Linked DNA regions of Cricetulus griseus. The protein of the gene in region 3 purifies or fractionates together with the protein of the main gene of each other region. This does not show direct contact. Links are inferred from orthologs where the notes say so. Each region holds a gene or a part of one and is shown on either strand. Other genes may lie near its edges.

Evidence for each region. Proteins that work in one complex are often made in the same cells at the same time.
Region 1: the proteins of Bach1 (region 3) and Hmmr purify together in Homo sapiens (affinity purification with mass spectrometry; 6 studies listed by BioGRID and IntAct, counting the BioPlex papers as one, with this or other methods). This does not show direct contact. The link is inferred for Cricetulus griseus from reciprocal best matches to the Homo sapiens genes BACH1 and HMMR.
Region 2: the proteins of Bach1 (region 3) and Maff purify together in Homo sapiens (affinity purification with mass spectrometry; 3 studies listed by BioGRID and IntAct, counting the BioPlex papers as one, with this or other methods). This does not show direct contact. The link is inferred for Cricetulus griseus from reciprocal best matches to the Homo sapiens genes BACH1 and MAFF.

The regions. Positions count from the first base shown.
Region 1 is NC_048600.1:55,600,211-55,604,503, reverse strand, and holds the start of Hmmr (hyaluronan mediated motility receptor), read left to right. Parts: upstream 1-1,396; 5' UTR 1,397-1,474; coding exon of another isoform or gene 1,475-1,508; coding exon 1,509-1,590; intron 1,591-4,293. Other genes in the region: Nudcd2 (nudC domain-containing protein 2), read right to left, coding at 665-853. UniProt on the Homo sapiens protein: Receptor for hyaluronic acid (HA). Involved in cell motility. When hyaluronan binds to HMMR, the phosphorylation of a number of proteins, including PTK2/FAK1 occurs.
Region 2 is NC_048595.1:376,527,126-376,531,282, reverse strand, and holds the start of Maff (transcription factor MafF), read right to left. Parts: upstream 2,898-4,157; 5' UTR 2,663-2,897; coding exon 2,610-2,662; intron 1-2,609. UniProt on the Homo sapiens protein: Since they lack a putative transactivation domain, the small Mafs behave as transcriptional repressors when they dimerize among themselves.
Region 3 is NC_048597.1:9,660,023-9,663,664, forward strand, and holds part of Bach1 (transcription regulator protein BACH1), read right to left. Parts: intron 2,430-3,642; coding exon 1,080-2,429; intron 1-1,079. UniProt on the Homo sapiens protein: Transcriptional regulator that acts as a repressor or activator, depending on the context. Binds to NF-E2 DNA binding sites. Plays important roles in coordinating transcription activation and repression by MAFK.

The DNA of each region.
Region 1 (4,293 bases), on a different chromosome or scaffold from region 3:
CAGACTGTCCTCGAACTCTCAGAAATTTGGCTGCCTCTGCCTCTTGAGCGCTGGGATTAAGGGCCTAGGCGTGCTACCACTGCCTGGCTTCTAAAAATTCTTAAGATCAAAAAAAGGTATAGCCAGATTCAAAATATATTGGTGGAATCAAATAAAAGAGGCACTATTTTCTTCACACACCTCTTCATTATCTTAATGACCATCTACGTGCAAGAAACTTGTAATTTAGAAAGCCAATCTGACATCACCTTCATCTGTTACCCAAACCCTGTTTGTTATTTCTGTATTTGCCTACACATCATGAAGAATTCACAAACCTTCTGCCTAAAGTCTCTGAGACTCAGATCAGTGCCCAGAAGATGCATCTGTACTTTTGATCTAGTTAGTCTTCTGTCAGCAGAGGAACCCCAGGGGAATTAAAGCAGCACATACCAGTGTTAGAAAAAGAAGTAAACGAAATCTTTATATTAACGTCCACGCTAGGTCTGATCTGGGAGTGGGTGCTACGATGGGACCCCTCGCCAGATCAGTTTACTGCTTTCTTTCCGCCAGCCAGGAACTGACCTTTCCACCCAGCAGTCATCCCTCTCAGACCGTGCATTTTTAGGACTCGGGGTGCGGGGAGGCCAAAAGAAGGAACTGGGGACAAGCCCTGGCTTGCTACCTTGAGGATCTCGCGGCCACCCACGGCTAGAGCCACATGCCGGCTCTGCAGGTCGCACTGGATGTCCTGCGCGCGTGTGCCCGGGGGCACCTGGACTTCAATGAACACCTCCTCCAGGGTCTGGTACCACTGGCCCCATGGCGTCCCGCACGGAACCACCCCACTACGTTCCTCAAACGGGGCGGACATTCTCCAGATGCCACGCACGGACCAGGCTCAGAGAGAGAGAGAGAGAGAGAGCACGGCACACGCGGGATGCGACTCAAGAGTTCGCCCTCGGCGCTTTGGGGTCACTGCACATGCGCAAAAGTCCAAGGTGGAGCGGCCGAGCGTGCAACTCTTTCCCTTTCAGGGCCCATTTAGGACACTCGCGAGACCTGGTGTGGAAGAACCGAAGTCAACATCTTAGGATGTTCCTAAGAACGGTGACGCCGGAACAAAGGAGAGAGGCGCTCGCGACCTTTAATCCTGTATGACGCCGAAATACGGACTCTCCTACGGGCCGCCTGCGAAATGCGCTTGCGCGAACTGAGTCCACTTGAGCAAATCCAGATGTCACTGGATAGAGCCGTAGCGGCGGCGAACAGGAACAGTCTCTCATTGGCTATCAGCTTAAACTTACAGGCCTCCCGATTGGACGGTGGTACAAATCTAGCGCGCATGCTCCTTGGCCCATTCAGGATTCGTCAGCTAGGTTTAGGCCTTCTGATTCGCTGAGGCGGGGACGGTGGGGTAAATTTGAATTCAGGCGAGCAAGCAGACAGTTGCTGAGGCGTTCGGTGGCCGTCGTCAATCCAGTGGTCACACACAATGTCTTTTCCTAAGGCGCCCCTGAAAAGATTCAATGACCCTTCGGGTGCGTACGGGTGCCGGAGCAGGGTGGGAAGGGGACCTCGCCCCTCCTATCTCAGTCGGCGGGACCCCAGGTTAGGGTTGGGATGGCATTTGTTTTTTTTTGTTGTTGTTGTTCAAAATACATGCAGTAAACACTTGGCGGGTGCTGTGTAGGGATGTGGCTCCGAGTAAAATCGAGCCTTCAAACGCGAAAGTCTACCAACAAGCTGTCAACGCCATGGTGAGGCTAATAGCTGGTTGAAGGGGTTTAGAAATGGCAGGCCTTTCGTACTTGAAGAAGAAAAAAATGTTACTTTCGTTAGAATTTCTCTTTCTTGTTTTGACATTGCATTCGGGTTAAGAAATAACAGCTGCTCCAGAATTCCATTCTCTATAAACAATCCTAAAGTAATATTTAGTGTTTTAGTGACTGAACACTGGAACTTGGTGTGCTGATGGCACCGTAAATGACAGTAGATGATGGTAGTGTCCAAAAAGTTAGGATAAAGGAATTTTTTATGTTTTCAGCATTAAGAAATAGATGTTTCCAGGCCTAGTGGCCTGAGCTGCATAGAAAGACCGTCTGGTACAGTGTTTTCTGTAGCTTGTCACACAGAGCTGAGTTTGAATCCTCATCCCACACCCCAAACAAGTTTGTTTTTCATACCTCTCAACACACCACAAGCTTAAATACTAGAGCAGTAGACCTGATGGATCTGCTCCCTGCAAGCAGTTTTGTCTAATGTGGAGATGAAGTAAATAAATCCTTATGAAAGCCTGGGAAGTTCTTTGGTACAAAAGATAGAAGATGCTATGAGGATTTTTCTAGTCTGATTTTGGGACTGTGCAAAAGCTAGAAACAATATCCCGACTGAGATCTGGAAGGTAAATGAGAATTGGCTGGGAAAAAAAAATTGGAATTGGCCTATGAATTCTAAATGGCTAACTAGAAAATACAGAAGTTGAAAAGCTTCAAGGCTTTATTTAATGTATTAAAAACCCCATACAGAAACACATTATTTCATTAGCTGATTTGATTGTTTTAAGTTAGAAGATGCCAACATGGGTAAGAAAAACATGAAAGAAAAATAATAATCAAACCAGCAATTGGAGCCACTTTGTGCTTAAAGATGAATTGTACCCTTAACAGCAGAGAAGGTTAACTTCATGGAAATCATCTGTTGTCTCTGACTTTTTTTTTTTTTCTTGGTTTTTTTTTTTGGTTTTTTTCAAGACAGGGATTCTCTGTGTAGCTTTGGAGCCTATCCTGGCACTCGCTCTGGAGACCAGGCTGGCCTTGAACTCAAAGAGATCCGCCTGCCTCTGCCTGCAGAATGCTGGGATTAAAGGCATGCGCCACCAACACCCAACTGTCTCTGACTTTTCTTATTTGTTTTTATTTTGTTGTTGTTGTTTGTTTTTGTTTTTGAGACAGGGTCTCTCTGTGTAACAGCTCTGACTGTCCTGGAACTCACTCTGTAGACAGGCTGTCCTGGAACTCAGAGATTCTCCTGCCTCTGCCTCCCAAGTGTTGGGATTAAAGGTGTACACCACCAATGCCTGGTCTCTGACTTTTCTAATAATGGTCTCATAGTCCTAATTTTTTAGAATTTTAACTAGAATGATATTTTATTTTAACTAGAATGATAACAGATTAGAGTTCTAAAAAAAAAAAATTGAGACACACAAGGAGTCAACTGTCTGCCTCATAAGAAAAGCTGATGGAATAATAGACATTTAATATGAAGGAGAAAAAGTCCAAGATAATGAGATAGTTATCTCTAAATACTTGAAGTTCATAATGGATAAAAGGGATTATTTGAAATTCTTGAGAGTTAGTGAAATACATATATATTAATTATAAGCAAGCACATTTCTAAGAGTACATATCTCCTGCTATGATAAGCCTGCTTGGAGCTGAACAGATTTTTATGTTAAGAGATTCAGACACATGTGGGACCAAAATAAAGTGGACATCAAAGAGATGAAATGGATACATTTAAAATTCTCTTCCGACATAGTCGTCCACTTTAGTGGCAGCTGTGTTGTAACTTGGCAGATTTTCATTGTTCAAGCATAAGAAAGCCCTGAACTCTGTTTCTATAAAGCCTACAGTTTATTGTATTTATAAAATGATAAAATTATGAAGTCCGAAATGGGAGAAAGTGTCTCTCACGAAGCTTGGCTTTACTGCACTGACAGGCTCTAATGGATACTACTGGTTTTCACTCCAAATACGGAAAATATGGCTATTCTTCTTTGCTCTCTTCTTCTAAGAGATACTTCTATGGAAAAGCTGGATTCATACTGCCTTGGATTTGGCAAGCAGCCGGGTCTATCACCTGGCCCATCCTTTCAAAGAGGACAAACTGCTAGATAAAGGAAGGTACACTGAAGCTAGGCATCATGCTACATGTGATCTAAGCACCCTGGAAGCTAAAGTAAGAGGCTCATGGATTCAGGATGAGCCTAGAGTATATTGTGACTTCTGGGTGAGCCTGAGTTCCACAGTAGAATGCTGAAGAAAGACTATGAAGCAAAAGCATCATAGTATATTGGAATATCGTGGGAAATACAAGTTTTCTGGAACAATTTATATTAATTCATGGACAATGACTGAAAACACACTCAGCCAGTTAGTATTTGTTTGGGGGGGGGGAGCAGAGTGGGAGGGGTTTATTTGGCTTCCAGGTTACAATCTATCCTTAAGGTAAACCAAGGCAGGAAAAGCACAAACGGAGGCATTCTGCTTATTGGCTTGCTTTCCATGGCATGCTCTGTTACACAGCCCAGGA
Region 2 (4,157 bases), on a different chromosome or scaffold from region 3:
TGACAGCATAAGCAGCCAGGCTATGAGCCCTGACCTCCTTTCTCCTCCACCTGCACAGCTAGGGGCCACTTCCTCTTCCAGCCAGACCAAGACCACAGTGGCCTCACCACTGCCTTACTCCCTCCTCTGCCCCAACCTCCATCTCCAATAGCATCAAAGGGTCACTAGAGGCACAAACCTACAAACTTGACCATGTTTGGCATGTTTCAAGTCCTTGTGCTAGTTAGGTGTGGTCATATACATCATGATGGCAGCCCTCAAGAGGCAGAAATAGAAAGACCAGAAGTTCAAAGCCAGCTCAGGCTACATAAGACAAAAACAAAAATAGGGCTGGAGAGATGGCTCTGTGGTTAAGAGCACCTGCTGCTTTTGCAGAGGACCCTGGTTCTGGCCTTAATACCAAGTCAAGTGGATCATATCCACCTGTAACTACAGTTCCAGGGATCTGACACCCTCTGGCCTCCACAGCCATCTGCACACATATGGCACACATCAATTCACTAAGGCACAAACACCTATGTAAATAAAAATGAACTTTAGATCAATCTTTAGAAAAAAATATCAAAACCACAGAGCCCATGCTCTCAGCTGTCCCAGCCCACAAAGGAGCCCCCAGCTGATAACATGTTCACTTCACTCTCCCAGCATTCTTTTTGCTAATAAGTAACAAATGAGCAGATTGGATTTCCTAATGACTATTGGCCAAAAGGAACACAGCTCTGTGTGTGAAAGAAGAAGCTACCTGCACCACCTGCTCATTTTGGGGGAAATTCCTGCAAGACTCCTACAGTTCACAGTCTTGCTTTCTGTTTCCCTGGAGCTCAGGGATATGGACCCATTGCCCATTTCTTCAACTATCCACATATCCAAGAAGCACCTACTGTGTGCCAGGCCCTGTGTTGAGTCCTGAATGGCCAAAAAGGAATCACAGCCCTTGTCCTCTGGGTTCCAGAATCACAGCACCATCAAACTCTACTCCCTAGCCACCTCCACAGGGAAGACTTCCATGATCACCCTGGCTAAGTAGGAGCCCTATTACTACTTAGGCCAAAGTAACTTCCCCTTCATGGCCCCTTCCCAGAATGTGGTCCGTGGATCTGTCTGTTTACTACAACCCTAAGCATCTAGCCCAGCCATTGTGCAAAGGCTAAGTGTCAGCAAAGCTTCCCAGTGCAGTGAGAGGGGAGCCAGCAGCCCACACTACCACAGCCATAGGTGAGCAGCTCTCACCAGGCCTTCCTATTGCAGTGAGTACATACCCATCCCTTCACACTATGAGCCAAAATAAATCCTCCCTTAAAAAATAGGTAAGCTGGACAGATGGCCCAGTGATTAAGAGCACTTGTTGCCCCTGCAGAGGACCCAAATTTAGTTCCCAGCACCCACATGATAGCTCAAAACCATCGGTAACTACAATTCTGAGGGACCCAAGACCCTCTTCTGACCTCTGCTGGCACCAGACACTCATTAAAAAGGGGGGCATTACCTAGGGGTCCTGGGTTCTAATGGACCCCTGGGGATCAAGGAGAAACAGAATCTCTCCATGCTAAGTTTCCCTCTGTCAGTGAGCCAGTTAGCCACTTCCCCTCACCACTAACCCCCCAGCCCCACTGGAGAGTGTTTCTTGATCAGTTTTGAGGATGGACCCACCTAAATCCTAGGGTCCTGGCTGCAGCCCCCTCAACCACCCACTCTACACACAACTCCATTTGCAGGCCTTGGGGTTGGCTCTGCCTTCCCAGTTTCCCCTGGTAAACAGGCTGTGCATTGCAGCTGCCAGGGACTAAGCTCTCCTGCCACCCTGCCGCAGATGGGGGTGGGACACTGCAGTTCTCACAGTGATAGCAGAACTCACTGGCTCAAAGTTGAAGTATCATTGATTCCGCCCCCTAACAAGCTTAGTTGCCACCTCCTTGGATTCCAGAACGCTCAAGTAGGGAAAGTTTGAGTATGACCATGGTGTTCCGGGAACCAGCAGTCCTTCAGGTTGCTGGCCTAAGCAGGTGTTTTCTTGCTGTGCTCCCCTCCCACATTAACCCTTCCCGAAGGAGGACCAGGGGTTATACTGCCGGCTGATCTTGCTGGTTCAGGGTGGACTCTAGGTGTGTCCTGGGGTCCAGTCTAACGAGTTCCATCTGAGAACTGAAACTACCAGAAGTGTGGCTATTAGCCTCACTCCATCCTTCAGGACCCAGCAGGTGCAGCCTCAGACATCCAGATTAGGCTAGCCACTGTAGCCTGGGAGCCTTGCCTTCCCCAATCTTTGCCAAGGCCTTTCTGGCCTTCTCTATTTCTCCTGGGACCGGAGGAATGGGACAGTCCAGAGATGAACAGTCCATACAGAGCCAGAAAACCTGGGGCTAAAGAGGGACTTCCACGTACTTCGTTACCAGGTACACCAGATGGCCAGGAGACGGCTGGCTGGCTCGCTCACTTCTGCTCTACCTAAAGCTGCAGGCACCCGCACTGGGCGAGGAACAAACACTGATGTCACATGGCTCCAACCAGGGGAAACTCCGGAGACAACTGGGGCCGGGCAGTACCGGCTGGTGGGAAGTGAGAGGATAGCGGAGGGTGGGGAGGAGGGAGAGAAAAAAAAAATTCCAGACCTGGTGTAACCATCGACTGGGCCACTTCCTTCACTCGGGTCCTTATTCCGCATTTGCTCCAGTGGACACCGGTGCACACACTTCAAGGTACACCGGGTTAGTGTCAGTCTCCAGGGAGCGCGCGCGGCCAAAGACAAACACACACACCCAGAGGTACCCCGTGCGCGCTCAGCCCGTGGGACCCAGGGCGCTCCCCAGAGAACACACGCGCACGCCCCGCTGCCGGGGGACGTAAACAAACCGCGCACACACGGTGCTGGGCCGGGCTCCAGGACTGTTCTCACCGAGTCACGTACGTGCACGCCCCGCCCCGCCTCCCGCCCCCCGCCCCGCCCCGGCTTCCTCCGGGGCCCGCGAACCGTCCCCCAGCCAGCCCCTCGGAGGCCCCTCGGCGGGCAGATGCACGGGGGCGCCCACAGCGCGGCCCAGGCACAACCCGGAGCGCTCACCCCAGGCGCGGTCCCGGTCCCTGACGCGTCCTTACCTCTCTCTGCCAGGCCCGACTCTACGTGCGCGCTTGTCGCAGCTGTCCCCGCAGCTGTCGCGGTGGCGGTCCCAGGCCGCTCTCAAGCCCCACTCCTCTCCAACTGGGACCGCGGTTCACTAGGAACCCGGCTCCGCGTAGCGCCGCTCGGAGTTTTGTTATGAGGCGGGCGGCGCAGGGGGCCGGAGCCGCGCGCAGTTGTAAGGCGAGCTTCCCGGAATTACTCACGCACAGGATTCCTTTCATTCATAAAAACCCAGTCATGCACTGACGTCATCGCCCCGGCCGCTGGCCGGTCCCAGAGCTGCGGCCCGAGCCAAGGCCACGCCCACAGCCAAAGTGAGACCCCGCCCCTAGTGGGCCCCGCTCTAGGGGCCCACAGCCAGAGCTTCCTGGGTTCTCAGTAGCCTCCAGACTTTGTCCTCTGGATGCATTCACGTGACACCTCTCGAGAGTGGCAGGGGAGATGTCGCTTCACTTTACAGTTCACTGGACTCTTCTCTCTTCGATCGACACCCTTTGCCCGGATGAGCTCATCCAGTCTCGTGGTTTTAAATGCCGTTTCTGTTTGTACCTATGGGACCTGGATCTTCAACTGTGCCTCCACTTGCCCAAGTGATTCCTGCCTCCACCATGTGGGTAAAAGTGCCTGTCACTAACTCTGACAATTGGAGTTTGGTCCCACAATTTACACATGGAAGGATACAACCGACTCCTGAAGGCTGTCCTCTGACCGCCACATACTTACAGTGGCATGTATGCACTCACACACAGACACACAACAAATGAGTTTAAGCTACATATAAAAGTTATAAATAAGAATTGTTTAAAGTCTGGCCTCTGAACTAATGTTCTCAAACTCTAGAAGCACACAGTCATGAGCTGTCTCTCCTGTTCACCCCCACTTTCCTACCTTTTAAAGAGCTGAGGCCATGCCTGGCAAATAGGTGCTCAACTAGTGAAGGAATCCGGTAGACCATACGACACGTGGGGACTCCATGTGGTTAGAGCCTTTGGCCTCATCCCCAGCCTAAGAGCACCAAGGAGTAAGGAAGGCTTCATAT
Region 3 (3,642 bases):
TCCCCTATTCACTGCAGGTCTCACACTCACAACGACCACCTGAACATCTGCACCCAGGTGAGCACATCAAGAAACTGTGACATATTATTCAGCCAGCTGTTTGAGAAACATCGCACTAAGTAAAATAAACCAAATTTCCTACATTATCTCGACTACTATAGGCGGTAATGTTAACAGGTAACCAAGGGCACCATTAGGATGTTGAAGCCACGGGCTGGGAGGAGGGGAGTGGGAAACAGGTGTTCAGTGACTTTTCATTACAAAAACAAGTTACAGAGATACGCTGTGTTAATACAAAAACCAGAGCTAACACAGCACTGTGCACTTAGGAACCCTTCCAAGGCCAGGCCGCCTGTCATCACAAACTTCAGAAGCAAGTAAAGCATGCATACAAAGGGAAAGAGTGTGATTAAAAATTACTAATAAAAGCAAAGTGAAAACTGCCACTATAAAGAGAACGCTGACCTTTGCTGCATAGTCCCTACTTTCTGTCACTAAATCAGAGTCTCACAGGGTACAGGGATGCAGTAGTAAATATAAACTTATATACACTGACTGCACAAGTCAAACTTGATACAACTGATAAGTCAGTAGCGCATATCCATCAAACTAATGCCTGAAAGGACTAAAGAAAAATCAAGTAATAAATAAAAGCAATAGATCTGGAAAAATTAGGTCTAAGAAAACATCCCTTTAATGCCACAAGCCTGCAGCTCCTCACAGCCAACCATGGCTCACGACCACACACTGTTCTCGGGTTTGACGATCTGGGGCTATGAACACTACAGGTTATATGATGCCATCGTCCAAAAGTTACCATTAACCACCAGTGACAGAACTGCTATCGTTTTTCCCTACTGGGGCATCTGATTACACAAGTCCGACAGCCCGTGTGGGGGTCACCTCCATGATCTATACACACACCGATGTGCAATACAAGCAAGCACACAGCAGTTCTTCGAACCCCATACATGCCCTATCACCACTCTGGTGTCGTGGCAGGCTCTCCTTCCTCTCTGCGCCAGGCACCAAGTGCACCTCTTAAGGAATGGCTGTGTCAACAGTGAGAGCACACTCACCTCACATTCCTGCTCCCGGGCCGAACAGGACTCGCTGTCCCCTTCTGTGTCGGTCTCAGAGTCATCTCCCAGGCTGATCACGCAAGCGTAGGGACAAGGCTCCTGCTGAGGCTCTGTCACGTAATCGTAGTTTCCGATTTCCAAGTTGCTGGAGCAGCCTTCGGAACCCAGAGTACTGATGAAAGGGCAGTTGACGGAGCTGAGAGTTGTGAAAGTCCGCTGGCCCGGCTCCGGGCTCTCGCTGATCCTGATACCCAACCAGGGGCACTCGGAGCGCCTTTGCGAGCAGCCCTGTTCTGAACCCTCTTTGGCCGCGGCAGGTGACAACTGCATTTGGCAAGCAGAGTCCGTGCTGCAAATGTCACTCCAGAAGCCTTTGGCCAGGTGCTCTGCCACCTCCCTCTCCACACTACTCCGATCGCCGGATGCAAGGCTGCTGCTGTCTTCTTTGGGGCCCGCGTCAGATTTCAGGTACAAATCGGGATTTTCACCAAACGGCTTCTCTTCCTGGGCATCCGCACCTGGCAAAGGCTTTTCTGTTTTCACTGTTTTACTCTGCACCCCAGTGAAGCCCATGTCACCAGACTGGTCGTATGTGTGTAAGAGAGGCAGGGAGTAGAGCCCGTGAGGGTCTGCAGAATTGTGCGGGAAGGGAGCCACTTCGCCACTCTGCGCCGTGGGGCCCCGAGAGGTGGGGTCTCTGCGCTTCGTCTCCTCGCTCTCCATGGCTGGCTTCGTTTCTTCACATTTTAAAATCACTTGCAAGTCTGCGCAACCTTGTGCTCCCCCGACACACTCCAGGTCAGATGTCTCATTGGGTTGGACAAAAGCAGCGTGGACATCTTTGAGGCCGGATTCTAGGGTGCGGATCTTGTCAGTTCCAAACGCTTTCTGGAATTTTCTGTATTTGGGGCATAGAGATGGCAGCGCCAGGGTGCCATCCTTTTCCGAGCATATGGACTGGCACGTCTGGCTGGCACTGTCTTGGAGAGAGGGTGACGCTTTCACATTGCGCTGACACCTCTGGGGGTCACACTGAGGAGTCTGAACACTTTTCTTTTCCAAGAACTCCTCTGCCTCATCGATTTCTAGATCTTTCTGGTCGGAGAGTGAAATTTTAAAGTCTGCTTTCTGACAGTGTGAGGAGAAGCATTTTTTTCTGGCACATTCTTGCTGCTCTGCAGTGGAGTCCAAAAACTTAAACTTGAGAAACTGAAAGCAGGATTCCTCGATATTGTGCACAATTAAAAACTCCACACACTTGCAAACTTCGTCAACATTGTCTTTACTTAAAATGAGTTTGGCAGTGTAGGCAAACTGAATTAAAGGTTCAAATCCTTTAACTGTCACCTGTTAATACGAGAGATAAAAATAAGCATGTCATTTAACAGCTGACTAACAGGTTTAACAGCTGTCTAGCAGTGACAACAGGAGAAGAGCCACAGGGGGTGCACGCTTATCTGTGAGCACTGAATGCTGAATGGGTGCTTTATTTGGTAGGAAAAGGGGAGTGGTATAGCAGAGTCCCACCCAATGCCACAGGACTAGTCCTCCACTTTAGGAATAGCACGTCAACACGGTTTCCTCAGGAAGACATTACCATGATCTCCCCATGTGAATAAGTATCTATGAAATAAAGCAGGAGGGGTCCACCCACAGCCCTGCTAGAAGAAAATGGCAATGGGTATGCAAGGTGTCTGAGGCTAGCACAGCTCCCAGAGGCCAAACAAAGTGAACAGTAATAAACTATACATTGGAGCTTTTAAAATGAAAAGTATTTATAAAAATATCCTAACCATCAAAAAAGCACAATAAATCAAAGTATTGGCTGGACAGAGGTCAGAGATCATGGGCACTGGCTGCTCTTGCAGAGAGGCCTGAACTTGGCTCTCGGCATCCACACGGGGAAGGCTCACAGCTGCCTGCAGTTCTAGCGCTGGGGATCCATGCCTCCACAGGCACCTGTGCTCATGACACACACACACACACACACACACACACACACACGTCACACACATCACACATGCAGTCACACACACATCCACAGTCACACACGTCACACACACTCACACACATCACACGTGTACTCACACACACACACACACACACACACACACGTCACACACATCACATATGCACTCGCATGCACAAATGCACACATATGTCACACACAAAAAAAACTTAAAAAAAAACCAAATCTTTAAAAATGATTATTTCTAATAATAAATTTTTAAGAGTCCAGACTACAAAAGCTCTAAGCCCCCACCTCTCCGCTGCTTCGGCAAACTGAGCAGACACCTGTATGTTTACACTGAGACTGTATATGCAAGGCAGGGGTGGGGGGTGGGAAAGCCTGCAAATTCGAACAGAAAGTTCACCTGGGTTAAAAATACAAATTACACTTAAAACTTTGAGTTACTACCAGATTGACCAAAATACTAAGACTCTCCTAAAACATGCTAACCTTACAGCGTTTAGCATGAAACCACTAAAATAAGCACTACTAAATTCTTCAAGAACAATGAAACTGGGTCACTTCCAATGCTGGTAGGGCTGTCAGATG